2 linked regions of the Macaca fascicularis genome follow. The protein of the gene in region 2 interacts with the protein of the main gene of each other region in a pairwise test. Links are inferred from orthologs where the notes say so. Each region holds a gene or a part of one and is shown on either strand. Other genes may lie near its edges. The genes, in order: TNNC2 and TNNI3.

Region 1 (15,861 bases), on a different chromosome or scaffold from region 2:
TTGCTGAAAGAGAAGGGAATCGGTCTCAGCTGCTGGGGGAGCCCCGCTGCAGACAGAAGAAAACTAAGCAGAGACCAACAGCTGGGAGCTGGAGAGACGACATTAGCTGAGACTCTGGCCTCCAGTTCATGCTTTGCCATCCCAGTTCAATGAACCAACAAATCCCTTTTTGGTTTAAGTCCGTTTTATTTAGATTTCTGGCACTTGCAACAAAAAAAAGCCTGGTCAGGAAGTATTTGAATTTCTGATTATTATGATTCCCATTTTATTGAATTCCTGCAAGATAAAGGCCCTCTGCTTGGGGGACTGGGGAATAAGTGCCATACAGCCCAGTGATTAAGAGCTCAGACCAGTCTGGTCATGGTGGCTCATGCCTGTAATCCCAGCACTTTGGGAGGCTGCAGTGGGTGGATCACCTGAGGTCAGGAGTTTGAGACCAGCCTGGCCAAAATGATGAAACCCTGTTTCTACTAAAAATACAAAAAATCGGCCAGGCATGGTGGCGAGTGCCTGTAATCCCAGCTACTCAGGAGGCTGAGGCAGGAGAATCGCTTGAAGCTGGGAGGCGGAGATTGCTGTGAGCCAAATCACCCATTGCACTCCAGTCGGCAACGAGAGCAAGACTCCATCTCCAAAAGAAAAAAAGGCTCAGACCAGGTAAGCAGAACTGTTTCAGGATCCTGGCTCTGCCTCCATTTGCCCGTAAACATGTAGACAGTTACATTTAACCTCTCGGTAAAATGAAAATACTAGCACCTACCTCATAAGACAGTGGAAGGACCTTAGAACAATGCCTGGTAGATAGTAAGCACTCAATAAAGGTTGGGTGCTGAACTCACATATAGCCAGGAAAGTTCATAGGTGGAGCACCCAATAGAATAGGAGGGTCAAGGAAAGGTTTTTGGAGAAGGGAATTGAGACCTGAGGGAGATGCACATTCCTTGGATAGCAAGTTCAGGAGTATGTAAGGAGAGGAATACACAGCTGAGAGTGGTGGCTCTTGCTTATAATCCCAGCATTTTGCAAGTCCAAGGCAGGCGGATTAGCTGAGCTCAGGAGTTCAAGACCACCCTTGCCAACATGGTGAAACCTCGTCTCTTAAAAACATAAAAATTAGCCGGGCATGTGGCGCCTGTAGTCCCAACTACTTGGGAGGCTGAGGTGGGAGAACTGCTTGAACTTGGGAGGCAGCGGTTGCAGTGAGCTGAGATCACGCCACTGCTCTCCAGCCTGGCTGACAAACACAAAACTCAAAACTCTGTCTCAAAAAAAAAAAAAAAAAAGAAGAGTAAAGGATGGGGAAGTCACATAGACATCAGGTCATGATAGGCTGGAAGGCCATATTAAGATACTTGGGCTAGCCTGGGTAACAAAGTGAGACCCCATCTCTACAAAAAATAACTAGGGGCTGGGGGAGGATCCCTTGCGCCTAGGAGTTCAAGGCCTCAGTGAGCTATGATTGTGCCCCTGCACTTCAGCCTGTGTGACAGGGAGATTCAGTTTCTTAAAAAAAAAAAAACTTGGACTTTATCTTGAGGCGAAGCCTTAAGCAGGGCAGTGACATGATCAGATTTGTTTTTATGTATTTTTTGAGATGGAGTTTCACTCTTGTTGCCCAGGCTGGAGTGCAATGGTGCAATATCGGTTCACTGCAACCTCTGGCTCCTGGGTTCAAGTGATTCTCCTGCCTCAGCCTCCCAAGTAGCTGGAATTACAGGCATGCGCTACCACGCCCGGCTAATTTTGTATTTTTAGTAGGGACGGGGTTTCTCCATGTTGGTCAGGCTGGTCTCAAACTCCCAACCTCAGATGATCCACCCGCTTTGGCCTCCCAAAGTGCTGGGATTACAGGCATGAGCCACCACGCCCGGCCTATGTTATTTTTTAAGACAGAATCTCACTCTGTCACCCAGGCTGGAGTGTAGTGGCGCAGTCTTGGCTCACCGCAACCTCCACCTCTTGGGTTCCAGCAATTCTCCTGCCTCAGCCTCCCAAGTAGCTAAGATTACAGGCATGTGTCTGGCTAATTTTTATATTTTTAGTAGAGAGGAGGTTTTTTCATGTTGGCCAGGCTGGTCTCAAACTCCTGACCTCAAGTGATCCGCCTGCCTCGGCCTCCCAAAGTGCTGGGATTACAGGTGTGAGCCATGGCACCCGGCCTCCATCTCTATTTTAAAATATGTATATAATTCAAAAAAAAAAAAAGATATTCAGGTAGAACCAATAACAGGTAGATGGCATCGGAGTTAAGAGCCTTGCTCCTGTGCAAACCACATAGTGCACGGCGATACTACCTAGGTTATTATCTGGGTGCCTGTGTACTTCACCTCCCTCGGCCTTAGTTTTCCAACTGTAAAGTGGAGAAAGCAACATCTGCCTCTAGGGATGTTATGTGAGTGAATGAGACAATGTCCATAAGGCACAGTATACAGTAGGCACTCAGTAAATAGTAATGTTTACCAAACCCCAGCACTGATCCTGGCTGTAAATAAAAACAGAAAAACATGAATAGGACAAAAGAGGAAGAAGAGAAAAAGACAGATGGAGAGAAAGAACTAAAGCAATGAGCAAGGTGACAATAGAGGCTGGGCTTGGTGGCTCATGCCTATAACCCCAACATTTTGGGAGGCCAAAGTGAGAGGATTCTTTGAGCTCAGGAGTTTGAGACCAGCCTGGGTAACATAGTGAGATTCCGTCTCCACTAAAAATAACAAAAACTAGTGGGGGGTCACCCATTTGTAGTCCCAGCTACTCGGGAGGCTGAGACAGGAGGATCGCTTGAGCCCAGGAGGTCAAGGCTGCAGTGAGCTGTGATCACCTACTGTATTCCAGCCTGGGCAACAGAGCGAGACCCGTCTCATTTAAAAAACAAAACAGGGCTGGGCGAGTTGGCTCAAGCCTGTAATCCCAGCACTTTGGGAGGCCAAGGAGGGTGGATCACGAGGTCAGGAGATCAAGACCATCCTGGCTAACACGGTGAAACCTCGACTCTACTAAAAATACAAAAAAAATTAGCCGGGCGTGGTGGCAGGTGCCTTGTAGTCCTGGTTACTCGGGAGGCTGAGGCAGGAGAATGGCGTGAACCCAGGAGGCGAAAAAAGCAGGCCAGGCATGGTGGCTCATGTCTGTAATCCCAGCACTTTGGGAGGCTGAGGCAGGCAGATCACCTGAGGTCAGGAGCTCAAGACCAGCCTGGCCAACATGGCGAAACCTGGTCTCTACTAAAAATACAAAAATTAGCCAGGCATGGTGGTGGGCGCATGTAATCCGAGCTATTCAAGAGGCTAAGGCACGACAGTCGCTTGAACCCAGGAGGTGGAGGTTGCAGTGAACCAAGATTGTGCCACTGCACCCCAGCCTGGGTGACAAGAGCAAAACTCTGTTAAAAAGAAAAAAAAAAAAAAATGCTTGCTATGTGCCAGGCACTGCTATAAGCACTTTGCACACACTAACTTCTCACAACCCTGTGTGTACTATCATTATCCCCATTTTACAGGTGAGAAAACTGAGGCACAGAGTGGTTTAGTTTGTCACAGGCAGTGAGCACTCACACTCAGGCATTCTGTCTCTAAAGCTAAACTACCCCCTACACTTAATTAGCTGTGATCTGATACCTGTTATATACAAATCACTACAGCAGCAAATAGCCAGTGAGGGGAGGGTTCAAGGGAAGAGATGGTATCTGAGCTGGGTCTTGTAGGTTGAAGAATCTGCCAGCTTATAAGAAAGACAAGGGCATTCCAGGGAGGGCAAACAACATGTGCAAAGTACCAAGGGCTTGAAAATGTACTCCAGGTCCCTATCAGGAATAAATTGCCCAGTGTGGCTGTGGAAAGAAAGAGAGGGAGGGAGGGAAGGAATTTGGATCTCATTCTAGAAGCAGTGAGGAGCACCGAACTACTTTCAATGGGGCAGTGGCCAGGTCAGATACTTTAGCTCACTGGTGCTGATGGCCCTCTGTAGAGTGCACTGGCTGAGACCGGGTGGAAGCAGAGATCTGGGGTCAAATGATGAGATCAGAATCTCCTTAGTGAGTGCCTCCACCCTCCCCTACCACCACCAGTACAAAGCGAGGATTAAGCACTTGGAAGAAAAGAGGAAGTAAAAGGTCAAGCAGAAACAATGCTACCTGGCATGGATGGGCACCTACTCCCCCTCTCCCCAGCTAGGGAGCCTGCAGAAGGTGGCAGCTATGACAACATCTAAGATGCCAACATTCCAGAAAAGAAGGACGGTGGGGAAGTGAGGGAGCTTCCCAGCTCCCCAGGGTTCTAGCCTCTCCCACCCCCTCACCCTACCTGCAGTCCCGGGACCCCTCCCTCCGCAGTCTGCCGGCTCACCCTGACTCAACTCCAAGCCCCTGCAGCCTCCTGGAGCCACCACTGCCCCGTCCGTCAAGCTGCGCACACCTAGCGCCAGCTGTCGGGAGCCAGCCGTGAACCCGCAGAGCCTGCCTCGGGCTCCAGGGCCCAGCTCCCTTCCGCATCTCGCTGCTCCCACATCCCGCAGCTCCGACAGCCTCTCCCGGGATCCCTGAGGGTGCTCCAGGTGGTGCCAGCTGGGATGGCGCCCTGGACCGCAACCTTTGAGACCCACTGTTCCCAGCTTTCCCCCCATTCAGGCCACGAGTTTTGGAACATTTGCTTTTATTCCTTGCAGACAAAGACCCACAAGGGGCCGTGCCTCCCTGGTGGGGACCCGGCAGGGCGGAGTCTCCCACACCCTAGGGACACGTGATCTTGGTGGAGGCGACTGACCACTCCTTACTGCACGCCCTCCATCATCTTCAGGAACTCTGTGGGAAAGGAGAGGGAGAGGGTCAGGGGTCCCACTGGGGACGCAGAGGCCAGGCCAGGGCTCCAGCCACACAGAGGGGATGACTTTTTTTTGTTTTTGTTGAGACACAGTCTCGCTAGGTCGCCAAGGTCGCCAAGGTCTGTTGCCCAGGCTAGAGTGCATTGGCACAATCATAGCTCATTGCAGCCTCAATCTCCTGGGCTCAAGCAATCCTCCCACCTAAGCCCCTGGAGCAACTGTGACCACAGGCACATACCACCACGCCCGCCTTTTTATTTTATTTGTTGTAAAGACAGGGTCTCACTATGTTGCCCAGGATGGTCTCGAACTCCTGGCCTCAAGCAATCCTCCCGCTTCATCCTCCCAAAGTTCCAGGATTTTACAGTCCTGAGCCACCACGCCCCCACTGCCTGGTCATTAATTGATAAACTGCACAGAGTCGTGGGTGCTTCTATACCCGCCCCCAGGAGACTAGGGGAACTTTTGAAGTTATGCCCAGCCCAGCCCACAAGGCCAAAGACACTGCACGGGAGCCAGGCACCAGTGCTCGCCGTCCCCTGTGGCTCCCACCCACTCTTCCCAAGCTCCCGTGGCCCTCCCTCACCGTCGAAGTCAATGCGGCCGTCATTGTTCTTGTCTCCGTCTTTCATCAGAGATTCGATCTCCTCGTCCGTCACGTGCTCCCCAGAGGCCCTGAAAATCTCAGCCAGCTCCTCCGGGTCGATGTAGCCATCTGCATTCCTTCAGGTCCAAGGGTCAGGGCAGAGCTTAGGGCCAGGGCGAGCTGCCCTGGCCACCACACTCGACGCCCTGCTTCCGCACCCCCAACCCGGGGAACCCTCCAGCGCTGCCGGCAGGCTTTGACTGCTCAGCCCCTCCCTCGGCTCCCAGGCCCCCAGCGCACCTGTCGAAGATGCGGAAGCACTCGGCCAGCTCCTCCTCGCTCTTCCCCTTCGCGTCCTCTTTCATCTGGCGCACCATCATGACCAAGAACTCCTCGAAGTCGATGGTGCCGCTGCCTGCGGGGAGCAGGTGGTGGACTGAGCCTGAGCCTAGCCACTGCCGCCTTTCCCCACCATCCCCTGCCTCTGAGGGACACCCACTCACCGTCCTCATCCACCTCCTCGATGATGGCGTCCAGCTCCTCCTTGGTGGGTGTCTGGCCCAGCATCCTCATCACCGTGCCCAACTCCTTGACGCTGATGTCCCCACCACCATCAGCATCAAACATGTCAAAGGCAGCCTTGAACTCTGCACGGGAGGGCAGAGGGCAGAGGTGAGGCCAGCTGGACTGTCAGCCTCACATCTACCCCCCCAACCCTGCCCAGAGGCCAACATGTCCCCAGCATACATCCACCCAGCCCCCAGCCTGCTGCGCCTCACTCACCAGCGATCATCTCCTCGCTGAGGTAGGACCTGGCCTCAGCCTGCTGGTCCGTCTGCAGGAGACACAGAGAAAGTCTGAGCTGAAGAGGCAGCCCCAGGGCAGTTGCACACCTGAACCCCATTCTTCCCAACCCTCACTCTCTCAGCGCTTCTTGGTCCTCCAAAAGAACAACTTCAAACTTGCCACATAATTGTGTGCCCGCACAGCACCCAATCACAGTTTTGTTTTGCCTTGCTCTGTCACACAGGCTGGAGTGCAGTAGTGTGATCATAGCTCACTGCAGCCTCAACCTCCTAGGCTCAAGCAGTCGTCCCACCTCAGCCTCCTGAGTAGCTGGGACTATAGTGCACACCATGCCTGACTATTTTTTAAGTTTTTGTAGAGACAGAGTCCCACTATATTACACAGGCTTGTTTTGAACTTCTGGGCTCGAGTGATCCTCTCACCACAGCCTCCCAAATTGCTAGGACTACAGGCTTGAGTTACTGTGCCCAGCTTCTGACCCCAGTTTTTGTTTTTGTTTTTTGTTTTTGTGACAGAGTCTCACCCTGTCGCCCAGGCTGGAGTACAATGGCGTGATCTCGGCTTACTGCAACCTCCACCTCCTGGGTTCAAGCGATTCTCCTCCCTCAGCCTCCCAAGTAGCTGGGATTACAGGCATGCGCCAACACGCCCGGCTAATTTTTGTATTTTTAGTAGAGACGGGGTTTCACCATGTTGGCCAGGTTGGTCTTGAACTCCTGACTTCAGGTGATCCACCCACCTTGGCTTCCCAAAGTGTTGGGATTACAGGCGTGAGCCACCATGGCTGGCCTGACCCCAGTTTTTTTGTTTGTTTTGTTTTGTTTTTGAGACAGAGTTTTGCTCTTGTTGCCCAGGCTGCAGTGCAATGGCACAATCTCAGTTCACCACAACTGCAACCCCCGCCTCCCAGGTTCAAGCGATTCTTCTCCCTCAGCCTCCCGAGTAGCTGGGATTACAGGCATGCACCACAATGCCCAGCTAATTTTGTATTTTTAGTAGAGATGAGGTTTCTCTATGTTGGTCAGGCTGGTCTTGAACTCCCGACCTTAAGTGATCTGCCCGCCTCGGCTTCCCAAAGTGATGGGATTACAGGCGTGAGCCACCACATGTGGCCTGTGACCCCAGTTTTGAGAAAAAGAGAGGAGACAACAAATTAAGCCCAAGGCCTTCTCACTTGTCAATTGAAGGCCAAGTCAGGAACCCCCCAGTGACCTTAGGCAAGTCACTTAGCATGCATTCATCTTTTCTCTGTAGCTTTTCAGGGATGAGATATCAGCGGTGTGAAAGGGTTTTGTAAAGGCTAGCACCATTCCAGCACTATTTTCCAGTTTTCTGTAGCTCCTAGTGGTGCCCAGTACTTTAATTGTTGCTCAATAAAATGTTTGTTCTCAAATAAATAATAATGCAACACAAAGTTATTGAGTACTTGCTGCACGTCAGGCCGCAGATCAGGCACTGGGACCACCAAGAAGAGACAGAGGACACATCATCCCGCCCCTCAGAGAACTGGCAGAGTCGGAGACTGTAAGCTTCCTTCTTAGGATTCAGTCATTGGAGAAAAGGCCCCTCATGTTGGGCCGAATGTGATGGAGGCCTTGACCTGAAAGCGAGATATCTGCGGGGGTTTCCAGGTCATACCCAAGCCAGGCCATCTGGGCCAGAGGCTTTGGATTGAGGCTGGCAGTGAGGACGGGGTGAGGCTTCCAAGGAGCTCTTCAGCCGGCTGGCTGCCGGCCCTCCTCCTTCTCCCCCTCCTTCCTCTCCTCCTCTTTCCCTGTGCCAGGAGGGCAGGCTATTTTTAGTCAGGCATGGGCAACAGCAGCTGGCCTCCGGGATCTAGTTACTCCTTGAAGTGAAGTGGGCAGGGGGATCTCAGACGAAAACAACAGCTCCAAATCAGAACCCCTCTCTAGGAGAGCAGAGTCTCTCTAACTCTGGTCTGTCATCTTCTGCCCCTTCCCATCATCCTCAGGGCTCCCAGAGCCCTGCATCTGAGCAGGCCCCACACCCTGCCCACCTCCTGTCTTCTGGACGAGGCTTTCTTCTCTCCATGATGATAGGAGGGTTTGCCAGGCTTCTGGCTCACCCCTGCCACTGGCCTGCTGGGTGACTCACTCTGACCCCTCAGAGTCCCCACTGTGTGAAGGAAACAAGCTAAGAGCTCCTCACAGGTCTATGAATGACACTGCTGGAAGTTTCCGAAGGTGAGTAGGCAGTCAGCAAGCCTTGAGGATCAATCTCTGGAATATCCCAGCCCTCCCCTTTCAAGAAAAGTCAAAGGCCTTCCTTTAAGACACCTGGGTTCCAGGAACCTCCATGCTCCAACCTCAAACATCCCAGTTACTGCCCCACAAAGCACTCAGGTCTGGCCTGAAAGAGGTCCAGAGTGCTCCCGCAAGTAAAGGCACAAAGTTCCCTCTTGTCCTTACCATGGTTGCTGGTGACCAGGACTCCTCTGCTGCAGGTCGCCTCCTTTGCACTCCGCCACCCAAAGATGCCCTGGCCTGCTCTAGCCCCCGGGATTTGTAGGGGCACCCTCCCCTCCCACCTCCCTGCTCCCCAGCACTGGAGACCCTGCCCAATCAGATCCTGGGGTCGGCGAGCCCCACCCCTCCCACAGTCTGAACCCATTACCTAATTTAGCCAAGGGCCCTTGCAGAGAAATTTAAGCCTCCAAGCAGGTGGCAGGCCTTGACGTCCTAGATTCTTGTGAGGAAGTCCCGCCCTGTTCCACCGCCTTGGAGTCCCCCCGACCAAGGAAGCACACTAGCTCCAAGATGGTAAGGACTATCAGAGTAGTAAAGAGTGAGGCAGCATGGTAAAATGGGGAGAGTACAAGCCTTGAAGTCCAAAACCCAAGATCCAAGGCCAGCCTCTGCGAGCTGTGTGACCTTGGGCAGGTAGCAGTGCCTCTCTGAGTCATTTCTTCATCTGTGGGAATGGACCTCTCTGTGGGGTCTCCCTCACAGAGAGAACATGGTAAATGGGAACCCAGGTATAAGTCACCTAGCTTGTGCCGGGTACACAGCGTTGATGCTTGGCAAGAGGAATGTCCTGTCTTTGAACCATGGTAAGGGGCAGGGGATAGAAGGAGGGGAAAGTGACAGCTAGGCCACTGTTTACTGAACCCCCACAATGTGCCACACACTGTGCTAAGCATTTTAACATGATCTCATCTAGTGCTCCTCCTATGAGATAGCAACTATTATTATCTCCATTTGACTGCAGAGATTTGTAAATCATAAAGGTCTATACTCACTCTGTCACCAAGGCTGATGTGCAGTGGTACTATTATAGCTCACTGCAGCCTCGATCTCCTGGGCTCAAGTGATCCTCCCACCTCAGCCTCCCGAGTAGCTGGGACTAGCAGTGCGCCACCACCCCTGGCTTTTTTTGTTTTCCTTTTTTGTATTTTTTGTAGAGATGGGGTTTCACCATGTTGCCCAGGCTGGTCTCGAACTCCTAGGCTCAAGGCATCCTTGAATCCTTGGCCTCCCAAAGTACTAGAATTACAGGCATGAGGCACCATGCCCACCCATGTTGATGATTCTTATTATTAATCCCGACTGGAAGGAAGTTGGGACAGACAGTCCTTGGGGGACCTGTCTAGATGGAAAAATGTATGGAGGGATGGAGGAGAGGAGGATGTGCATTTGGAGGAGAAATAATCATTGAAAGCAAAGATCCTTCTCTCAAAGTTACCTTCTCCATGGAAAGGGTGTTTGGATTCACTTTTTTGGGGTAAGGAGTAGGCAAGGGAAGGTTATTTAAGTGGTAAAGGGGTAGCTGGCCCCTTCCTAGAGCTCAGTGAAGACATCTGGTCATCTGGGGAGTAAAGGGGTGGGCAAAGCAAGTCCAGAGGGAACCCACCCTGAGAATCCACAAGGTAAAGGCTGGGCACTGGGGAGTAGGCAAGACTTGTGGACAGTGACTACGTCGACAGAAAGAGCACCAAGACAACCGATAGCAGGCTCTGGGGCCAGGAAATGGGGGCTGGACACCAAGGAATGCAGATGGACAGTGACAACTGGGCTGCCCCCTTCCCCTATATATAGACATTCCCAAGGAGAGCTCGGCAGGGCTGGGCCAAGCTAAATAAGGCCTCCCCCAGGCAGGCAGAGTGCCAAAGCCTGAGACCCATGGGATTCCAATTTAGTTTTTGGTTTTTTTTTTTCTTTTGAGACAGACTCTCACTCTGTCACCCAGGCTGGAGTGCAGTGGCGCCATCTCAGCTCACTGCAACCTCCGCCTCCTGGGTTCAAGTGATTCTCCTGCCTCAGCCTCCCAAATAGCTGGAATTACAGGCATGAGCCACCATGCCCAGCTAATTTTTTTTTTTTTTTTTTGAGACGGAGTTTTGATTTTGTTGCCCAGGCTGGAGTGCAATGGTGCGATCTCGGCTCACCACAACCTCCGCCTCCTGGGTTCAAGCGATTCTCCTGCCTCAGCCTCCCGAGTAGCTGGAATTACAGGCATGAGACACCATGCCCAGCTAATTTTGTATTTTTAATAGAGACAGGGTTTCTCCATGTTGGTCAAGCTGGTCTCAAACTCCTGACCTCAGGTGATCCGCCCACCTCGGCCTCCCAAAGTACTGGGATTACAGGTGTGAGCCACCACACTTGGCCAATTTTTGTATTTTTCATAGAGACAAGGTTTCATCGGCCAGGCGTGGTGGCTCACACCTGTAATTCCACCACTTTGGGAGGCCGAGGCGGGTGGATCACGAGGTCAGGAGATCGAGACCATCCTGGCTAAAATGGGGAAACCCCGTCTCTACTAAAAATACAAAAAATTAGCTGGGCATGGTGGTGGGCGCCTGTAGTCCCAGCTACTCGGGAGGCTGAGGCAGGAGAATGGCATGAACCCGGGAGGCGGAACTTGCAGTGAGCCGAGATTGAGCCACTGCACACCAGCCTGGGCAACAGAGCAAGACTCCGTCTCAAAAAAAAAAAAAAAAGGTTTCATCATGTTGGCCAGACTGGTCTCGAACTCCTGACCTCAGCCTCCTAAAGTGCTGGGATTACAGGTGTGAGTCACCGAGCCCGGCTTTTGTTCTCTTGTTTATTCAGGGGAATAGATAAGTCCCAAATTGCTTATGTGGCCAAGCAGGGTCCCACTGGCACTTCTAATCTCCTTCCTCCTCCCCTCCACATCGTGTTGCTGTCTGCTCTGATCAGACTTTAAAATACTGCTCTAGGCTGGGCGCGGTGGCTCATGCCTGTAATCCCAGCATTTTGGGAGGTCGAGGCTGGCGGATCACGAGGTCAGGAGTTTGAGACCATCCTGGCCAGCATGGTGAAACCCTGTCTGTACTAAAAATACAAAAAATTGCTGCCAGGCGTGGTGGTGGGCACCTGTAGTCCCAGCTACTCAGGAGGCTGAGGCAGAAGAATCACTTGAACTCAGCAGGTGAAGGTTGCAGTGAGCCACTGCAGTCATGCCACTGCACTCCAGCCTGGGTGACAGAGGGAGACTGCATCTCAAAAAAAAAAAAAAAAAAAAAAAAAAAAAAGACTGCTCTAAACACCACCTTTTATGAACCTTCAGGCCTTTGCACATGCTGTTTTTTTTTCTGCCAGAAACTCCCATCTTTCCTCTCTTCATCTGTCTACTTCCCCTATCATCTTTCTCAGCTCTAACATCACTTCCTTGGGGATGCTTCCTCCCGCTATGTCCAGGCCAGGGAGTCCAAGGTGATCTCCAGTAGTTTCCTCAATCACAGCACTGAGCACGCCTTATGATCACAACCCATTCTATGTTCTACAGATCATCACATTTCCCAGTGCTTAGCATTTGCCACGTAGCAGGAGTTCAACAGATATTATATTCTACATAAGAATAACCGAACTGGATGGTATTTAGTTCAATATAAGGGGGAACTTCCTAATAGTCATAGTTGAACAATAATGAGAACAGGCAGCCTCAGGAGGTAATGAGCTCCCTGTCACTGAATATACCCAAGCAGGAGATAGATGACCATTTCTCAGGGAGGCTGTAAGGAGAGATCCATACAGAGTTTAAAAATGGGGACAGTGGGCCGGGCGCGGTGGCTCAAGCCTGTAGTCCCAGCACTTTGGGAGGCCGAGACGGGTGGATCACGAGGTCAGGAGATCGAGACCATCCTGGCTAAAACGGTGAAACCCCGTCTCTACTAAAAAAAAAAATACAAAAAACTAGCCGGGTGAGGCGGCGGGCGCCTGTAGTCCCAGCTACTCAGGAGGCTGAGGCAGGAGAATGGCCTGAACCTGGGAGGCAGAGCTTGCAGTGAGCTGAGATCCGGCCACTGTACTCCAGCCTGGGCAACAGAGCAAGACTCCGTCTCAAAAAAAAAAAAAAAAAAATGGGGACAGTGGCTCACACTTTTAATCCTAGCACTTTGGGAGGCTGAGGCAGGTGGATCTCTTGAGCCCAGGAGTTCGATACCAGCCTGGGCAACATGGCAACATACCAGCCTGCTTCCAATAAAAAAATTAAAATAAAACAAAGAATGGTGGATGGTGGCTCATGCTTGTAATCCCAGCACTTTGGGAGGCAGAGGTAGGAGGATCTCTTCAGGCCAGGAGTTCAAGATCAGTCTTGGCAACATGCAACCCCACCTTTACAAAAAATAAAATATTAGCCAGGCATGGTGGCACATATCTGTAGTCCCAGATGCTTGGGAGGCTGAGGTGGGAGAATCACTTGAGCCCAGGAGTTTGAGGCTGCAGTGAGCTATGATCGCACCACTGCACTCCAGCCTCACAACAGAGTGAGACTCTGTCTCTGAAAGAGGCCAGGTGCGGTGGCTCATGTCTGTAATCCCAGCACTTTGGGAGGCTGAGGCAGGCGGATCATTTGAGGTCAGGAGTTCGAGACTAGCCTGGCCAAAATGGTGAAACCCCATCTCTACTAAATATACAAAAATTAGCTGGGTGTGGTGGCACACACCTGTAATTCCAGCTACTCAGGAGGCTAAGGCAGGAAAATCACTTGAACCCAGGAGATGGAAGTTGCAGTGAGCCAAGAGTGTGCCACTGTACTCCAGCCTGGGTGACAGAGTGAGACTCTGTCTCAAAAAAAAAATAAATACATAAAAATAAAAAGGAAGAAGAAAGAAGCAGAAAGAGGAAGAAGGAAGCAAAAAGAAGAAGAAATAATAATAGTGGAGAATGCGCAACCTTGAGATCTGCTAGTTCTGACTGTTTGTATGACCTAGCATAAGCCTTTCCCCTCACTAAGCCTCAGGCTACCTATCTGTAAAACGGAGGTGATAGGCCAGATTTCTGAGGGGCCCTGCTGCTTTAACAACCCATGGTTTCATGAAGACCAGCTTTGTGCCCAGACATGTAAGGCATATACCAAAGGACAAGTTATTTTTTAACCAATGGTTGGTGAATGATTGAGTGTTGAATTAATAAATGAAGTATGTCTTTTTTGTCCCAATATCTTGCCCATAAGCCGAATGAAGAGTAATTCGAGGTTTGAAATTGTGCAAACTGGCCAAGCACAGTGGCTCATGCCTGTAATCCCAGCACTTTGGGAGGCAGAGGCGGGCGGATCACTTGAGGCCAGGTGTTCGAGACTAGCCTAGCCAATATGGTGAAACCCCATCTCTACTAAAAATACAAAAATGAGCCAGGCATGGTGGCGCATGCTTGTAGTCCCAGCTACTCAGGAGGCTGAGGCAGGAGAATTGCTTGAACCTGGGAGGCAGAGGTTACAGTGAGCCGAGACCGCATCACTGTACTCCGGCCTGGGCGACAGAGCAAGACTCTGTCTCCCTCCCTAAAAAATAAATAAATAAATAAATAAAATTGCACAAACTTAGGCTTAAAATCCATCCCAGCCCCTCGCCGTGTGCGGTGGCTCACTCCTGTAATCCCAGCAGTTTGGTAGTCTGAGGCGGCGGGCGGATCACGAAGTCAAGAGATCAAGACCATCCTGGCCAACACGGTGAAACCCCGTCTCTACTAAAAATACAAAATTAGCCAGGCATGGTGGTGGATGCCTGTAATCCCAGCTACTCGGGAGGCTGAGGCAGGAGAATCACCTGAACCCAGGAGGTGGCGGTTGCGGTGAGCCGAGATTGCACCATTGCACTCCAGCCTGGGCAACAAGAGCAAAACTCCTCAAAAAAAAAAAAAAAAAAAAAAAAAAAAAAAAAATTCCCAGCCCCTCTATTTCCCAGATGTGGATCTTGGGGAAGTCACTTTACCTCAGTTTCTTCATCTTGAAAATGGACCATTAATGTCCAGTTACAGCCTCTTCCCTAGGACGCTGTGAGGGACGGATGTGACAGTAAAGTGCCTAGAGCGGGATGTAGAAAGTGGATCCTCAGAAAATAAGAACCCCAGCCTTTCTGCTCACATGGGAAGGCAGGGAGCTGAAATACTTTCTGCTTATTCTAAGGCATTTTCCCCTACCCCTCTGTCTTGCACCACCCAGAAAGGGCAGGAGCTACTTTGGAGAGATTTTGATTTTATTTGTTGTATAACTATCAAAATCTGCCCTAACAACTGATATCTAGGCTTTGTGACAGGAAGCCACAATAACTTTCTCTTGACCTGCAGCTGCCCTGAGGATAAAAGATAAAACAAAGCTGGGGAGCCGCTGAGATGATCAGGCCTGCTGCACGGGAAAAGGGCAGTACGGGCTCCAGGCCCCATACTCAGAGACCTCTGAGGGAGGCAGAGGCAGGCAGATCACTTGAGCCCAGGAATTCGAGACCAGCCTGGGCAATGTGGCCAAATCCCATCTCTACAAAAAATACAAAAATTAGCTGGGTGTGGTGGCGAACGCCTGTAGTCCTAGCTACTGGGGAGGCTGAGGTGGGAGGGATGACCTGAACCCAGGGAGACGGAGGTTGCACTAAGCCAAGATGGTGCCATTGCACTCCAGCCTAGGCAACAGAGTGAGGCTATATCTCAAAAGAAAAAGAAAGAAAGAAAGAAAGAAGGAAAGAGAGAGACAGAGAGAGAGAAAGAAAACTCTGGCAAGCTGTGTGGTTTAGCCAAGTAACTCACCCTCTCTGGTCCTCAGTTTCCCTGTTTGCCTACTTCCCATGTATGAGGTTCAAATCAGATTGTGCAATCCTGCAAACACTGTAGGAACAATAATCATTATGTAAGTGATCACTTCGTCAGCCCTTGCTCTATGCCAGGCACTGGACGAGGATTTTTTTTTTTTTTTTTTTTTTTTGAGACGGAGTCTTGCTCTGTCACCCAGGCTGGAGTGCAGTGGCCAGATCTCGGCTCACTGCAAGCTCCGCCTCCCGGGTTCATGCCATTCTCCTACCTCAGCCTCCCGAGTAGCTGGGACTACAGGCGCCCGCCACCTGAACGAGGATTCTTACAAGAGCTGCAAAATTAGTTTTAGCAGTACTGTTCCTGTTTTACATACGAGAAAATCTAGGCTCAGCGAGGTCAGATTCCAACCCAAATCACACATCTCCTGGCCTTCGTTTTCTTTCGGGAGACATGGCCTCCCTAATATCGCATAATTACTTTGTGAAGTTAAAGAGCGTTGGGTGGAAATTAGTGGGGCAGATTGGAGATGACGTGGGTGGGGTGGGAGGATTCCAGGAGGGTATGCGCCTGGCCGGACTGGAATGATTTTGCGGCAGGCCTGGGACTCCCTCAGGCCGACCTAGGCTTCCCAAGTCCCTCCTAGAG
Region 2 (15,683 bases):
GTGGCTTCTGCTTTCGGAACCTCAGTTTTTCCATCCGAGAAACGGGGGAATCGTTCCCCTGTTCTGGGATGGAAGAGAGGGTCAATTAGAAGCCGCTCTCCCTGCATCCCTCTCTGCTTCCCTCTCTCCCCACGCGTGCCTCGCCCCGCAGTTCCGCGAGCGGGACGCCCTGGAGGCCGTGTTCCGCTTCTGGGCGGGCGGCGAGAAAGGGCCGGAGGCCTTCCCCATGAGCCGCCTCTGGGACTCGCGGCTGCGCCACTACCTGGGCTCCCGCTACGACGCCCGGCGCGGTGTCAGCGACTGGGACCTGCGCATGAAGCTGCATGACCGCGGGGTGAGGGGCACAGGAGGAGGGGCTGGGGGCCTGGACTCCCGGGTCTGAGGGAGGAGGGCCTGGGGACCTGGACTCCCGGGTCTGAGGGAGGAGGGGCTGGGGGTCTGGACTCCCGGGTCTGAGGGAGGAGGGGCTGGGGGCCTGGACTCCCGGGTCTGAGGGAGGAGGGGCTGGGGGTCTGGACTCCCGGGTCTGAGGGAGGAGGGGCTGGGGGCCTGGACTCCCGGGTCTGAGGGAGGAGGGGCTGGGGGTCTGGACTCCCGGGTCTGAGGGAGGAGGGACTGGGGCCTGGACTCCTGGGTCTGAGGGAGGAGGGGCTGGGGGCCTGGACTCCTGGGTCTGAGGGAGGAGGGGCTGGGGGCCTGCGCTCCCGGGTCTGAGGGAGGAGGGGCTGGGGTCTGGACTCCTGGGTCTGAGGGAGGAGGGGCTGGGGACCTGGACTCCTGGGTCTGAGGGAGGAGGGGCTGGGGGTCTGGACTCCCGGGTCTGAGGGAGGAGGGTTTGGGGGTCTGGACTCCTGGGTCTGAGGGAGGAGGGGCTGGGGGTCTGGACTCCCGGGTCTGAGGGAGGAGGGCCTGGGGGCCTGGACGCCCGGGTCTGAGGGAGGAGGGGCTGGGGGTCTGGACTCCTGGGTCTGAGGGAGGAGGGCCTGGGGGCCTGGACGCCCGGGTCTGAGGGAGGAGGGGCTGGGGGTCTGGACGCCCGGGTCTGAGGGAGGAGGGGCTGGGGGTCTGGACACCTGGGTCTGAGGGAGGAGGGTCTGGGGTCTGGACTCCCGGGTCTGAGGGAGGAGGGGCTGGGGTCTGGACTCCTGGGTCTGAGGGAGGAGACACTGGGGGCCTGGACTCCTGGGTCTGAGGGAGGAGGGACTGGGATCTGGACTCCCGGGTCTGAGGGAGGAGGGGCTGGGGGCCTGGACTCCTGGGTCTGAGGGAGGAGGGGCTGGGGGTCTGGACTCCTGGGTCTGAGGGAGGAGACACTGGGGGTCTGGACACTTGGGTCTGAGGGAGGAGGGTCTGGGGTCTGGACTCCCGGGTCTGAGGGAGGAGGGGCTGGGGGCCTGGACTCCCGGGTCTGAGGGAGGAGGGACTGGGATCTGGACTCCCGGGTCTGAGGGAGGAGGGGCTGGGGGCCTGGACTCCTGGGTCTGAGGGAGGAGGGGCTGGGGACCTGGACTCCTGGGTCTGAGGGAGGAGGGGCTGGGGGCCTGGACTCCCGGGTCTGAGGGAGGAGGGTTTGGGGGTCTGGACTCCTGGGTCTGAGGGAGGAGGGGCTGGGGGTCTGGACTCCTGGGTCTGAGGGAGGAGGGCCTGGGGGCCTGGACGCCCGGGTCTGAGGGAGGAGGGCCTGGGGGCCTGGACGCCCGGGTCTGAGGGAGGAGGGGCTGGGGGCCTGGACGCCCGGGTCTGAGGGAGGAGGGGCTGGGGGTCTGGACACCTGGGTCTGAGGGAGGAGGGTCTGGGGTCTGGACTCCCGGGTCTGAGGGAGGAGGGGCTGGGGTCTGGACTCCTGGGTCTGAGGGAGGAGGGGCTGGGGGCCTGGACTCCTGGGTCTGAGGGAGGAGGGACTGGGATCTGGACTCCCGGGTCTGAGGGAGGAGGGGCTGGGGGCCTGGACTCCTGGGTCTGAGGGAGGAGACACTGGGGGTCTGGACACCTGGGTCTGAGGGAGGAGGGTCTGGGGTCTGGACTCCCGGGTCTGAGGGAGGAGGGGCTGGGGGCCTGGACTCCTGGGTCTGAGGGAGGAGGGACTGGGATCTGGACTCCCGGGTCTGAGGGAGGAGGGGCTGGGGGCCTGGACTCCTGGGTCTGAGGGAGGAGGGGCTGGGGACCTGGACTGCTGGGTCTGAGGCAGGAGGGGCTGGGGGCCTGGACTCCCGGGTCTGAGGGAGGAGGGTTTGGGGGTCTGGACTCCTGGGTCTGAGGGAGGAGGGGCTGGGGGTCTGGACTCCTGGTTCTGAGGGAGGAGGGCCTGGGGGCCTGGACGCCCGGGTCTGAGGGAGGAGGGGCTGGGGGCCTGGACGCCTGGGTCTGAGGGAGGAGGGGCTGGGGGTCTGGACACCTGGGTCTGAGGGAGGAGGGTCTGGGGTCTGGACTCCCGGGTCTGAGGGAGGAGGGGCTGGGGTCTGGACTCCTGGGTCTGAGGGAGGAGACACTGGGAGCCTGGACTCCTGGGTCTGAGGGAGGAGGGACTGGGATCTGGACTCCCGGGTCTGAGGGAGGAGGGGCTGGGGGCCTGGACTCCTGGGTCTGAGGGAGGAGACACTGGGGGTCTGGACACCTGGGTCTGAGGGAGGAGGGTCTGGGGTCTGGACTCCCGGGTCTGAGGGAGGAGGGGCTGGGGGCCTGGACTCCTGGGTCTGAGGGAGGAGGGACTGGGATCTGGACTCCCGGGTCTGAGGGAGGAGGGGCTGGGGGCCTGGACTCCCGGGTCTGAGGGAGGAGGGGCTGGGGGTCTGGACTCCTGGGTCTGAGGGAGGAGGGGCTGGGGGCCTGGACGCCCGGGTCTGAGGGAGGAGGGGCTGGGGGCCTGGACGCCCGGGTCTGAGGGAGGAGGGGCTGGGGGTCTGGACACCTGGGTCTGAGGGAGGAGGGTCTGGGGTCTGGACTCCCGGGTCTGAGGGAGGAGGGGCTGGGGTCTGGACTCCTGGGTCTGAGGGAGGAGACACTGGGGGCCTGGACTCCTGGGTCTGAGGGAGGAGGGACTGGGATCTGGACTCCCGGGTCTGAGGGAGGAGGGGCTGGGGGTCTGGACTCCTGGGTCTGAGGGAGGAGGGTCTGGGGTCTGGACACCTGGGTCTGAGGGAGGAGGGGCTGGGGGTCTGGACTCCCGGGTCTGAGGGAGGAGGGCCTGGGGGGTCTGGACTCCCGGGTCTGAGGGAGGAGGGCCTGGGGGGTCTGGACTCCCGGGTCTGAGGGAGGAGGGTCTGGGGTCTGGACTCCCGGGTCTGAGGGAGGAGGGCCTGGGGGGTCTGGACTCCCGGGTCTGAGGGAGGAGGGGCTGGGGGCCTGGACTCCCAGGTCTGAGGGAGGAGGGGCTGGGGGTCTGGACTCCCGGGTCTGAGGGAGGATGGTGTAGGGGTCCCTCCATGGTGGGTTCATTGAGGGGTCCCTTCTTCCTGCCCCCCACCCCAGGCCCAAGTCATTCACACCCAGGAGTTCCGACGCTGGCGGGACACAGGCGTCGCCTTTGAACTCAGGGACTCCAGCGCCTATCACGTGCCCAACCGGACCCTGGCGTCGGGTCGCCTCCTGAGCTACGTGCGTGTCCACTGCCTGTCCTGGCCCACTGCTGCTTCTCGGAGACCCAGGAGTCAGGGTCCCCAGCCTCGACCTCACCCGCCTCCTCTCTCCCTCCTTTTCCAGCGCGGGGAGCGCGTGGCAGCGCGCGGGTACTGGGGGGACATCGCCACAGGGCCCTTCGTGGCCTTCGGCATCGAAGCCGACGACGAGAGCCTTCTGCGGACCAGCAACGGACAGCCGGTCAAGGTGCGCGGCGAGGCTGGGACTGGGGGTGGGAGTGGGGCTGGGGGTGGGGGTGGGGCTGGGGGTGGGGGTGGGGGTGGGGGTGGGGCTGGGGGTGGGAGTGGGGCTGGGGGTGGGGTGGGGCTGGGGTTGGGAGTGGGGCTGGGGGTGGGGCTGGGGGTGGGGGTGGGGCTGGGGGTGGGAGTGGGGCTGGGGGTGGGAGTGGGGCTGGGGGTGGGAGTGGGGCTGGGGGTGGGGCTGGGGGTGGGGGTGGGGCTGGGGGTGGGAGTGGGGCTGGGGGTGGGAGTGGGGCTGGGGGTGGGGCTGGGGTGGGTGTGGGGCTGGGGGTGGGAGTGGGGCTGGGGGTAGGGCTGGGGTGGGGGTGGGGCTGGGGGTGGGTGGGTGCGCAAGACCCCGCCTCCACCGCAGGCCCCGCCCCAGCTCCAGACCCAACCCGTCGCTGGGCGGGGACGACTCCATTCAGGGAACAGGCCCCATCCCCGCGGGATAGGTCCCGCCCCACTTCACATCCTCCAAGCAGCTGCGGGAGTTCTAGTCCTGGACCGAGGACTCCCCGCGTTCTAAGCCCCGCCCCGCCATCCCGGCCCCGACGTCTGGCCACGCCCCTTCTACCCCTAGACGGCCGGGGAGATCACGCAACACAACGTGACAGAGCTGCTCCGCGAGGTGGCCGCCTGGGGGCGCGCGAGAGCCAGCCGGGGGGACCCGGAGGAGCAGCAGCGCTCGGAGGCAAGCCCGGAGCCAGGGACTCCAGGTAAGTCCCAGGTAGGCCAGGACTCCAGGTAAGCCAGGGACTCCAGGTAAGCCACGGATAACAACAGGTAAGCCAGGACTCCAGGTAAGTCCCAGGTAGGCCAGGGACAACAGGTAAGCCAGGGATAACAGGTAAGCCAGGGATAACAACAGGTAAGCCAGGACTCCAGGTAAGTCCCGGGTAGGCCAGGGACAACAGGTAAGCCAGGGACTCCAGCCTCCAGCTGTTTCACACTGGAGTGTGGACTGACATGATTTGGAATGCCTGGGCAAGTGACGGCTTCTTGATATTCTGTTTTTTCCTCTCTTCTCTTTCTCTCCCTTTCCTAAATTTTGAGAGCATGCTTAGGATTCTGAATTCCACTAGTAGAATTCAATCTTATCTGCAAAGGGCTAAGCTATCCAAGAATATTCTCACAGGGTGCTGGGTCCCAGCCCTCCCTTGGACACCATCCTGCACCCCGGATCCGCGCTGGGCCTCCTTCCAGCCATCCTCCAACCTGGCCCTCCCTGAGTGTCTGTCCGACAGGGCATGTCACATGTGGCCCTGGCCACCCACCCTCTTTCCCTCTCTAGTCTCAGTTGCCTGATCTGTACAGTGAGCCTCTGCCTGCTGGGCTGATCTTCCCAGAATTTTCCAGGAATCCACCTCAGAGGAAAGATTTTTTTAAAAGCTTCAAGAGGACAAAAAGTGTTATCTCCAAGTCCTGTGTGCCTGCCCAGCTCTGCCCAGCTCTATATATCTCTCTGGCTTTCTGCCCTCATGGCTCTGCCCGTCAGAGGTGACCCCTCTATCCCCTTCCTCCGGCAGCCTCCACTCCGGAACCATTCACTGTCCACTTCCTGCCACTCAATTCTGCTGAGACTCTCCACCACAAGAGCTGCTACAATGGCCGGTTCCAGCTCCTCTATGTGGCCTGTGGGTAAGCAGGAGGCGTCTGTGCTCACAAAGACCCAGGATCAGGCCCCCAGCCCCTCCTCCCTCAGACCCTGGAACCCAAGCCCCAGGCCCTCCTCCCTCAGATCCAGGAGTCCAGGCACCCAACCCCTCCTTCCTCAGACCCAGGAGTCCAGGCCCCCAGCCCCTCCTCCCTCAGACCCAGGAACCCAAGCCCCAGCCCCTCCTCTCTCAGACCCAGGAGTCCAGGCCCCTAGCCCCTCCTCCCTCATACTCTGGAACCCAAGCCCCTCCTCCCTCAGACCCAGGAGTCCAGGCCCCTAGCCCCTCCTCCCTCAGACTCTGGAACCCAAGCCCCTCCTCCCTCAGACCCAGGCGTCCGGGTGCCCCAACCCCTCCTCCTTCAGACCCAGGAGTCCAGCCCCTCCTTCCTCAGACCCAGGAGTCCAGCCCCAGCCCCTCCTCCCTCAGACCCAGGAGTCCAGGCCCCCAGTCCCTCCTCCCTCAGACCCGGGAGTCCAGGCCCCAGCCCCTCCTCCCTCAGACCCAGGAGTCCAGGCCCCCAGCCCCTCCTCCCTCAGACCCAGGAGTCCAGACCCAGCCCCTCCTCCCTCAGACCCAGGAGTCCAGACCCAGCCCCTCCTCCCTGGTCCCTGAGTCCAGACCTCCTGCTCCCTTCTTTCCCAGGACCCAGACTCCAGTGTTGCAGCCCCTCCTCCCTCAGTGTCTGGGTTCCCAGAGCCCCCTCCTCCCTCAGCTGAGTCTCGGCTTGTCCTCGGTCCTCACTGCAGGGTGGTCCATCTTCTCAGCCCCGAGCTTGGGGCCTGTGTGGCACCTGGAGGGAACCTGATTGTGGAATTAGCCCGGTGAGCCAGTGGGGTGGAGGGCGGGGAACATCCCGGCTGGGGATCAAAATCTGGGTCCCTGACATGGCGCTTCCCATCTGCAGGTACCTGGTGGACGTGCGGCAGGAGCAGCTGCAGGGATTCAACACCCAGGTCGGGGAGCGAGCTCAGGCAGCGGGATTTGCTCCACAGACCGGGGCCAGGCCCTCAGAGACCTTCGCACGTTTCTGCAAGTCCCAGGACTCGGCTCTGGGCAGCACTGACCCAGCTGTGGAACCCGGAACTCCGTCCCTTGACGTCGTGGCCCAGCCTCTTGAAGCCAGCAGCCCAGCCCCTGAGGGCCTGACCCAGCCTCCGGAGGGCGGGACCCCACACTGGGAGCCCTGCCAGCTGCCCTCTGAGTCTCCAGGTTCACTCTCAGAGGTTCTGGCTCAGCCCCAAGGGGCTTTGGCTCTGTCCAACTGTGAGTCAGACTCCAACACTGGAGTCTGACCCAACCCCTAGATACCCCTTATCTCCAACTTCCAAAGTCAGGTTGTAGGATGAGAACCCGCTGATACCATCCTAAGCCGGCTGCTAGAGTCCCCAATTTTATTCTAATCATTCCCACTCAGTACCCGCCACCCCCACCCTGGGAGTGTTGATAGAATTTCAAATTCTATTTCTGAGATTCTATTTCTAGAATTCTAGATTGTTCTCTCAGAATTCCAAATTCCACTTCTGAGGCCCTGAACCCAGTCTAGGATCGGACCCTGAGTCTCAAGCCCTTGACTTTGGCCCCCTTGTTCCCAGGCACCCTGGGCTGGCTGGGGGCTGGGGTGTCTCCTCACCAGGGCCTGGTCAGCACCCAGATGGTTCAAGTAAAGCAAGTTATGTCCACCTCTCTGTGTGTCCAAGTGTCTTTCCTGTCCTATGTCCGTCTCCAGGGCTGGGAGAGAAAGACCCAGGAGTGGTGGACAGAGGAAGCCAGAAACCAGATTCCTGGGTTTCCGGGACTTGACCAGTGGGTCTAGGGAGGACAGGACTGGGGTCTGGACTGCTGGGTCTGAGGGAGGAGGGGCTGGGGGCCTGGACTCCTGGGTCTGAGGGAGGAGGGGCTGGGGGTCTGGACTCCTGGGTCTGAGGGAGGAGGGGCTGGGGACCTGGACTCCTGGGTCTGAGGGAGGAGGGGCTGGGGATCTGGACTCCTGGGTCTGAGGGAAGAGGGGGCTGGGGGCCTGGACTCCTTGTCTCAGGGAGTGGCTGGGGTCTCCCAGGGTCCTAGGACTGAGGAAGGAGGGGGCTGGGAGGTTGGGCATTCTGTGGGTCTGAGGGAGGAGGGGTCTAGGACTCCAGGATCAGAGGGAGGAGGGTCCGGAGTCCTGTGCCCCGAGGTGGCTGGTGATCCAGCTGGAGCAGGGCCCACCCCACCCCTCACGTGCCCCGTTATCTCGCATGGTGGGCAGGGGAGGAGGAGGTGACAGTATATTTAGTCTCTGTCCTCGCCCTTTATCTCAGTGTCCTCGGGGAGTCTCAAGCAGCCGGGAGGAGACTGACGGTCCCTGGGACCCTGAAGGTCACCCAGGCGGTCCCCTCACTGACCCTCCAAACGCCCCTGTCCTCACCTCCTGCCATTCCCGGCCTGAGTCTCAGCATGGCGGATAAGTGAGTGATGCCCCAAGGCAGTGGGAGTTGGGGGCGACCTCTCAGGTTCCCAAGAGGGGTCAGAGCTGAGAGGCTGGACCCCTGGCCTGTGAGGTAGGGGTAGGGGCTCTTGGTTGAAGAAAGGAAGCGGGTTTGCGAGTCAGACTCCTGGAACCAGAGGAAGGGGAAGCGGTGTCCCCCGACCTCTTGGTCAGAGGGGCTTCCGGGGGTCCCTTAGGAGACAGACAGGACACAGCCCACCACTAACCCCCATCCCCGGTTTCTCTCCTTCCAGGAGCAGCGATGCGGTGAGAGCAGCAGGCTAAGGCGTGGCTGGGACCCCCAGGGCCAGGGTGGGCGCTGCAGTGAGGGGTCTGGGGCGGGAGGCTGCAGCCCTAGCAGAGGGTGCGGTACGGAAAGGGCTGGGTGGGGTCTTGGTGGTGATGGGGTCCCCACTCCTCCAAACCCAGGCTGGGGAACCTCGCCCTGCACCAGCCCCAATCAGACGCCGCTCCTCCAACTACCGCGCTTACGCCACGGAGCCACACGCCAAGGTGGGAAGGGGCTTCCTGGGGGCCGAGTACAGGCGCTGGAAGGACCCGAGACCCTGAGAGTGGGGGGAGGAGCCAAGGCTACGAAGGGGGCGGGGACTACGCGGAGAGGCTTCAGGGGCGGAGTTTTGCAAAGGGTCACACTCGGATTGGTGACAGCCGCCTGTGGGCGTAGTTCCGTTGCCCTTGGATTTCCTTAGGGATAGATGGGAAGTGCCTATCCAAAGCCAGAGACCCGGATTGGTGGATGGGAATGAGGGGCGTGGCCTGTCATAGACTCAGGGCGCAAGTTGGAAGTGGGCCCAAATCTGGACCGGCTGGGGTTGCTGGGGGTGCCTTGAGGTCCCCTCCACCGTCGTCTCCGGATCCCCCTCCATGATGCTTCCTTGCTCCATCTCACCCTGGCAGAAAAAATCTAAGATCTCCGCCTCGAGAAAATTGCAGCTGAAGGTGAGCACGGGAGGTACAGGGAAGGAGCAGGCACGTGCTCAGGGGGCGGAGCTTGAGAGTGGGTGGGGCTTTCGGGGTAGGTGGGCGGGAGTGGGCGGGGGTTTGGCCGCTCGGGGCGTGGCTTTATCGGGGAGTCCTGCTCCGGGTGGGGCGGGGCCTTGGAAAGGTGGAGACGAAACTCGAGGGTTTAGAAGGGCAGACGGGGTTCCCTACGCCTGGTCTTTTTCCTGATGCCCCGGGTGGGCTACGCTTCCCTCCCACCCCTCCGCAGACCCTGCTGCTGCAGATTGCAAAGCAGGAGCTGGAGCGAGAGGCGGAGGAGCGGCGCGGAGAGAAGGGGCGCGCTCTGAGCACGCGCTGCCAGCCGCTGGAGTTGGCTGGGCTGGGCTTCGCGGAGCTGCAGGTACCAGCTCCCAAGGCAGGTACTCCTGCCCAGCCTGGGATCCGAGGTTTCTAGTCCCCGGAATTCAGCAGAACAGCCTCTGTCCCCTCTTCTGCTCGGGACCCAGGCGTCCAATATGTCTGTCCTTACCCAATTCTATATGGTTCGTGGGACTCCCGGCCCCTAACACCCTTTGTGTGCAGGTCTCTGGAGTCTTGGCTCCAACCTTCTCCTTCAGGATCATGTGGCCCTCCTATCCCAGACAGGGTCCAGGCCCCAGCCCCTCCTCCCTCAGAGCCGGATGTTCAGGCCTCAGCCCCTCCTCCCTCAGACCCAGGAGTCCAGGCCCCAGCCCCTCCTCCCTCAGACCCAGGAGTCCAGGCCCCAGCCCCTCCTCCCTCAGACCCAGGGGTTCAGGTCTCCAGGCCTCCAGGCTTCCCCCAAAAACACACACCACGTTCCTCCTCCAGGACTTGTGCCGACAGCTCCATGCCCGTGTGGACAAGGTGGATGAAGAGAGATATGACATACAGGCAAAAGTCACCAAGAACATCACAGAGGTGGGACGCATGGGCAGCTTGGGTACCTTCGGGGTAGTGAGATACCTGGTATTTGGTCTCTGCCTGACCCCTTGCAGCTGCTTTTGGCTGCACATCCCAGGATACCCAGGACAACTGTGAGCCTGGCAGGGCTGGGGCAGAAGGATGAGTACAATATAGTCAAGGAAAGCTGTTGTAGGCAGAGGGAACAGCACATGGAAGGCCATGGGTTGGGAAACAGAAAATATGTTAGTGAACATGTTCAGGGCATCACATGTTGGTAAATTAGCTCAGGCATTGGCCAGGGAATTGTGATTTGTATGTAGCTGGACCAGGTTATGCCAGTGGTTTTGTGAGGTGAGGCTGGAGCGTATGAAGAGGGGGATTCAGTTCCAGGATTAGAAGCTTAGACTGGGAGCCTAAGCTGAGAAGAGACTGGATGAGGCCTCGGTACTGGAAGACGAGATAAGGAGAATAAAAAAGGAGTGTAGGGTGGAAGAGTTGGGTGAGGGGGAAATGGAGGCAGGAGTATCCACACCCCTGTATACTGCCTCCCCCCAGATCGCAGATCTGACCCAGAAGATCTTTGACCTTCGGGGCAAGTTTAAGCGGCCCACCCTGCGGAGAGTGAGGATCTCTGCAGATGCCATGATGCAGGCGCTGCTGGGGGCCCGGGCTAAGGAGTCCCTGGACCTGCGGGCACACCTCAAGCAGGTGAAGAAGGAGGACACCGAGAAGGTGAGTGTGGGCTAAGGCCAGGAAAGAGAATGCTGAGGGGAAGGGCTGTGGGTACCAACAACCCTGGGGCCTAGCTGGAGGGCAGACGGTGCTTGAAGTTGGGGGTAGAAGCAGCTAGCTAGTACGGGGTCCTCCAAAATGCAAGAGGAAGACGGGAAGTGCATTAGGGCTACAGGAAGTCCATGTAAGAGCAAAGAGGTGCATGAAGGGCTGGGTGCAGGGGCTCATGCCTGTAATCTTTGAGATTAAAATTTTTTTTTTTAATTTCCTTTTTTTTTTTGAGATGGAGTCTCTGCTGCCCAGGCTGGAGTGCAATGACACCATCTCGGCTGCTGGAGTGCAGTGACGCCATCTCGGCTCACCGCAACCTCCGCCTCCCAGGATCAAGTGATTCTCATGCCTCAGCCTCCCAAGTAGCTGGGACTACAGGTGCACACCACCACGATATTGTTTTAATTTCTACAAATTTCTTTTTAAAATTGATTAGTCATGGTGGTGGCATGCAGCTTCTCAGGAGGCTGAGGCAGGAAGATCGCTTGAGCCCATGAGATCGAGGGTGCAGTGAGCTATGACTGTACCACTGCACTCCAGCCTGGGCAACACAGTAAGACCCTATCTTAAAGAAGAAGACAGGAAAGACAGGAGTGGATGCCTGAAACCATGGATTGTACTGAACCCTATATATAATTTTTTTCCTATACAAACCTACGTACCTATGATAAAGTTTCATTTCTAAATTAGACACAGTAAGAGATTAACAATAAATAATAATAAAAGAAGGCTGGGCATGGTGGCTCATGCCTGTAATCTCAACACTTTGGGATGCTAAGGCGGGCAGATTGCTTGAGCTCTGGAGTTCGAGACCAGCCTGGGAAACATGGCGAGACCCCGTCTCTACAAAAAATACAAAAGTTGCCAGGTGTGGTGACTCACACCTGTAATCTCAGCGCTTTGGGAGGCCAAGGCAGGTGGATCATAAGGTCAGGAGTTTGAGACCAGCCTGGCCAACACAGTCAAACCCCATCTCTAGTAAAAATACAAAGATTCGCTGGGTGTGGTGGTGGATGCCTGTAATCCCAGCTACTTGGGAGGCTGAGGCAGGAGAATTGCTTGAACCTGGGAGGCAGAGGTTGCAGTGAGCTGAGATCTCACCACTGCACTCCAGCCCTGGCAACCGTGGGAGACTCCATCTCAAAAAAAAAAAGTTAGCTGGGCATGATGGCACACACCTGTAGTCCCAGCTACTCAGGAGTCTGAGGTGAGAGGATAGCTTGAGCGCAGGAAGTTGAGGCTGCAGTGAGTCGAGATTGCACTCCAACTTGGGTGAGGGAACCAGACCCTGTCTCAAATAATAATAATAATAATAGTAAAATAGAACAATTATAACATATTGTAATAAAACTCATATGAATTGGTCTCTTTCTCAAAATATCCTATGGCCCTGTAGTCACCCTTCTTTTCCTTGTGATGTGAAATGACAGTGCCTATGTGCTGAGATGAAGTGAGGTGGATGACATAGGCATTGTGACCTAGCATTAGGCTAGGTCCTATGAGAATCCATCAAACTTATGAATTATTTCTGGAATTTTCCATTTAATATTTTTGGGCCATGGTTTACTGAAACCACACAAAGTAAAATTGCAGATAAGGATGAACTACTACAATAAGAAGGAAGGAGACAGGAAGTGCATAAGGCAGACAGAAAGTGTAGGGGAAAGATAGGAAGTGCAGGAAGGAGACAGGAAGTGGATAAGGAAAGACAGAAAGTACATGAGGGAGACAGGAAGTGCATGGGGAAAGACAGGAAATGCATGAGAAAAGACAGGAAGTGCTGGGGAAAGACAGGAAGTGCATGGGGGACAGGAAGTGCATGGGGGCACAGGAAGTACATGGGGAAAGACAGGAAGTGCTGGGGAAAGACAGGAAGTGCATGAGGGGGACAGGAAGTGCATGAGGGAGACAGGAAGTTATGGGGAAAATTGGCAGGGATTATCTTGAAAAGATGGGAAGTGCTCCAGAACTAGACACTTAGACAGGCATCCAGGGTAGAGTGGCCCCACAGGCTGGAGGGAAGACAGGGATTCTTGAGAGACTGGAGACCAGGAAGAGACCCTAATCTCTGACTCTATCGCCATCCTCCAGGAAAACCGGGAGGTGGGAGACTGGCGCAAGAACATCGATGCACTGAGTGGAATGGAGGGCCGCAAGAAAAAGTTTGAGGGCTGAGTCTTCCTACCTACTGCCCCCGCCCTGAGGAGGGCCCTGAGGAATAAAGCTTCTCTCTGAGCTGAAAGTGACTCCATGTCTATTACCCAGGGCTTAGGCAGGAGAGAGATGGGAAAACTGAGGGCAGGGCTCCCCCAAAGTCACACAGCAGGTCGGGGACCAGATGGATCTCCCATGTGGAGCACTCTTGGCTCTGTTATCAAAAAGAATTCCAGGGTTCATGAATTTGGAGAGGGGAGCTTTGTTTCTTAAGAAGCAGATCACAACCTGCAAACTGGAAGCGTGGCTTCTTGCCAAAAAACAGAAGCAGGCACTTTAAGGGAGGGAAGGGCAAGGCAGGAATTTACGCTGAGTGGGTTGGCTACGTGCACGTATTCAACTGGTTATAGAAGGAGCTATGAATATTCATGGACAGGTGGACACACACATGTGTGACAAGCAAACATGCATTTTTTTTTTTTTTTGAAATGGAGTCTTGCTCTGTCACCCAGGCTGGAGTGCAGTGGCACAATGTCAGCTCACTGCAACCGCCACCTCCTGGGTTCAAGCCATTCTCCTGCCTCAACCTCTCCAGTAGCTGGGATTACAGGCATGCACCACCAGGCCCAGCTAATTTTTGTATTTTTAGTAGAGACGGGGTTTCACCATGTTGACCAGGCTGGTCTCGAACTCCTGACCTCGTGATTCACCAGCCTCGGCCTCCTAAAGTGCTGGGATTACAGGCGTGAGCCATTGTGACTGACGACAAATATGCATTTTACATGGTGGTGGAGGCTTAATATTTAAGTGCATCCCATTGAATGCATTCGTATGGAAACATGAAGCAGGCATATGAAGGCACCCAGTGCACAGCCTCTGTCAAAAGTCAGAACCAGTCTGTGGTCCGTGGTATCTTATCAGGAGAAAGTTACTGAAATCAGTCTCTCATTCAACTAATGCTGTAGCTATGCGTTGTGGAACAGGGGGTTCAGTTAGTCAGCATCTGGCAATGGATGGCTGCAATTGTTGTAATATTGCATATCTTGAGGCCAGTGTTTGTTTAGCTGCTAGAAAAAGGAAAAGCCTTGTGGCAATTAGAACATAGTTTATTATATAAGTGTAGGGATGCGTGACTTAACCCTTGCCTGGCATGGCCTCAGGTCTTGTTTATAATTTGGTATCTTATTGCCACAAACAGTTCATTCCATCAGTCTTCTGATCTCTATTGTCACAGCACCTCTGGCCCATGTGGAGTGCACAGAGATGCCAAGATTAAAGCTCAAAGAGAGAGACACACAGAGAAACAGATAGGCAGAGAGACATACTGGCAACAGAGGGACTGAGTTGGGAGTAGAGAGAGAAGGAGCCAGACAAAGACCCAAAGAGAGAGGGAGAAAATACCATGGATGCATAGAAGGAAGTGCAAAGAAAGGAGAAAAGAGAGACAGAGGTATAATCACAGCAAGGTGCGGAGACGTGGAGACCCTATAAGAGAGGGAAATGGAGAGCCACAGAGCGGGAACTGCGGGCACTAAGACATGGAGAGAACTAGAAAGACAGAGACGTGAACATGGACACAGAGACCCAGAGCCAAAAAGAGACAGAAATGGGGTCACAGGTGGACAGAAATGCACAGAGAAACTGTGAGCCTCCACGGACACAAACGCTGAGAGGGGCAGACATGCAGAGACACCCACAGAAATGCAGAGACAAAACCACCTAGAGACACATGCCAAGAAACACACTGAGGGACCCAGAAAGAGACAGATGCAGAGAGAGCCCAAGACAGACCCCAGCAAGAGGCCCCAGGAAAAGCACAGAAACACAGAGACGGACCACGAGAGGCAGAGGTACTGAGAGGTACTGAGAGGTACTGAGAGGCGGGGAGGGGAGGAGGCCTGCTCTCCAGGGCCGGCTTGAACCCAGAACTCAAGGTCATGGCTTGGCTAGGAAGCGCGAGGGGGACACCAAAAAGATCAGTGTTAGATGAAGGTGGGGAGGGAGGGGAGGTTTCACCCTAATTGACACCCCCTCTCCCTCCCTCTCCCCACACCTGCTTCCCGGCTTTAGTGCCTGTTGTCACCAGGATGGAATCCTGGTGGCAGACAAAAGGGTGGGGGTGGGGAGGGGGAGACAGAAAGATGGACAGAGACAGAGGGGGAGACTAAGAAGTGGAGACAGACACACAGAGATACACAGATGGAGAGCCACAGACACAACAGAAACGGGGGTCCAGAAAGAGACCATGGTAGAAAGAGGGAACGGAGAGAAGAAAACAGAAAACATTCCTTATAGCCCATTTGTCATTAGTAGGTCCTCCAAGGACCTACTGTGGGCCGGGCGTGGGGACGTCAAAGCACAGGGAGCTGTAAGGGAGGTAGCTGCAGCACCATGAGACCTGGGGGTGGGGTGGGGGCGGGAGCGGGGCTCCTGGGCCGTGCAGATGGGGTTAGCATGGGGTTGGGGAGGGGCCCGCGGAGGCTTTTGGACTCTGAGTGTGGAGCCAGGGGCAGCGGGGCTGTCTCTGAGCTCCCAGACTTGTGTTTGAGCAATGGAATTCTCTCCCCCTCCCTCTCCCTTCGGGGCGGGGCCAAGCCTCCCAGGGCCAGCTATAAACTCCCGGTAGCTTCAGTGCCCTCAGCAAGGCTCAGCCACGAGCTTCCCAGCATCTCAGACACAGCCTAGGTAAGGGGCTCTGTGGGGCCCTGTGGTCTCCAAAGACTGTGTCCTTGCGGGAGGGGGCAGGAGGTGGGTGGGGAAGATGTGGGGTGTGGAGAAATGGTGCAGAGGTAGGTGGGGCAGACAACTGGAAGTCTGGGAACTTGAGAGGCTCAGACTTCAGGGGGACTCAGGATAGAGGGGAAAATACTGGGATTTGTG

What was found.
Region 1: the proteins of TNNI3 (region 2) and TNNC2 interact in binary tests that used the Homo sapiens proteins (3 or more experiments, as listed by UniProt). The two-hybrid records come from large-scale screens. The link is inferred for Macaca fascicularis from reciprocal best matches to the Homo sapiens genes TNNI3 and TNNC2.

The regions. Positions count from the first base shown.
Region 1 is NC_088384.1:101,853,670-101,869,530, forward strand, and holds TNNC2 (troponin C, skeletal muscle), read right to left. Parts: upstream 8,705-15,861; 5' UTR 8,641-8,704; coding exon 8,638-8,640; intron 6,237-8,637; coding exon 6,185-6,236; intron 6,049-6,184; coding exon 5,905-6,048; intron 5,817-5,904; coding exon 5,702-5,816; intron 5,539-5,701; coding exon 5,402-5,538; intron 4,796-5,401; coding exon 4,764-4,795; 3' UTR 4,630-4,763; downstream 1-4,629. UniProt on the Homo sapiens protein: Troponin is the central regulatory protein of striated muscle contraction. Tn consists of three components: Tn-I which is the inhibitor of actomyosin ATPase, Tn-T which contains the binding site for tropomyosin and Tn-C.
Region 2 is NC_088393.1:63,021,910-63,037,592, reverse strand, and holds TNNI3 (troponin I, cardiac muscle), read left to right. Parts: upstream 1-7,810; 5' UTR 7,811-7,948; coding exon 7,949-7,959; intron 7,960-8,233; coding exon 8,234-8,246; intron 8,247-8,408; coding exon 8,409-8,492; intron 8,493-8,897; coding exon 8,898-8,939; intron 8,940-9,210; coding exon 9,211-9,342; intron 9,343-9,791; coding exon 9,792-9,881; intron 9,882-10,421; coding exon 10,422-10,598; intron 10,599-12,740; coding exon 12,741-12,824; 3' UTR 12,825-12,891; downstream 12,892-15,683. Other genes in the region: DNAAF3 (dynein axonemal assembly factor 3), read left to right, coding at 152-334, 3,469-3,594, 3,700-3,822, 4,438-4,573, 5,384-5,495, 6,262-6,336, 6,420-6,807. UniProt on the Homo sapiens protein: Troponin I is the inhibitory subunit of troponin, the thin filament regulatory complex which confers calcium-sensitivity to striated muscle actomyosin ATPase activity.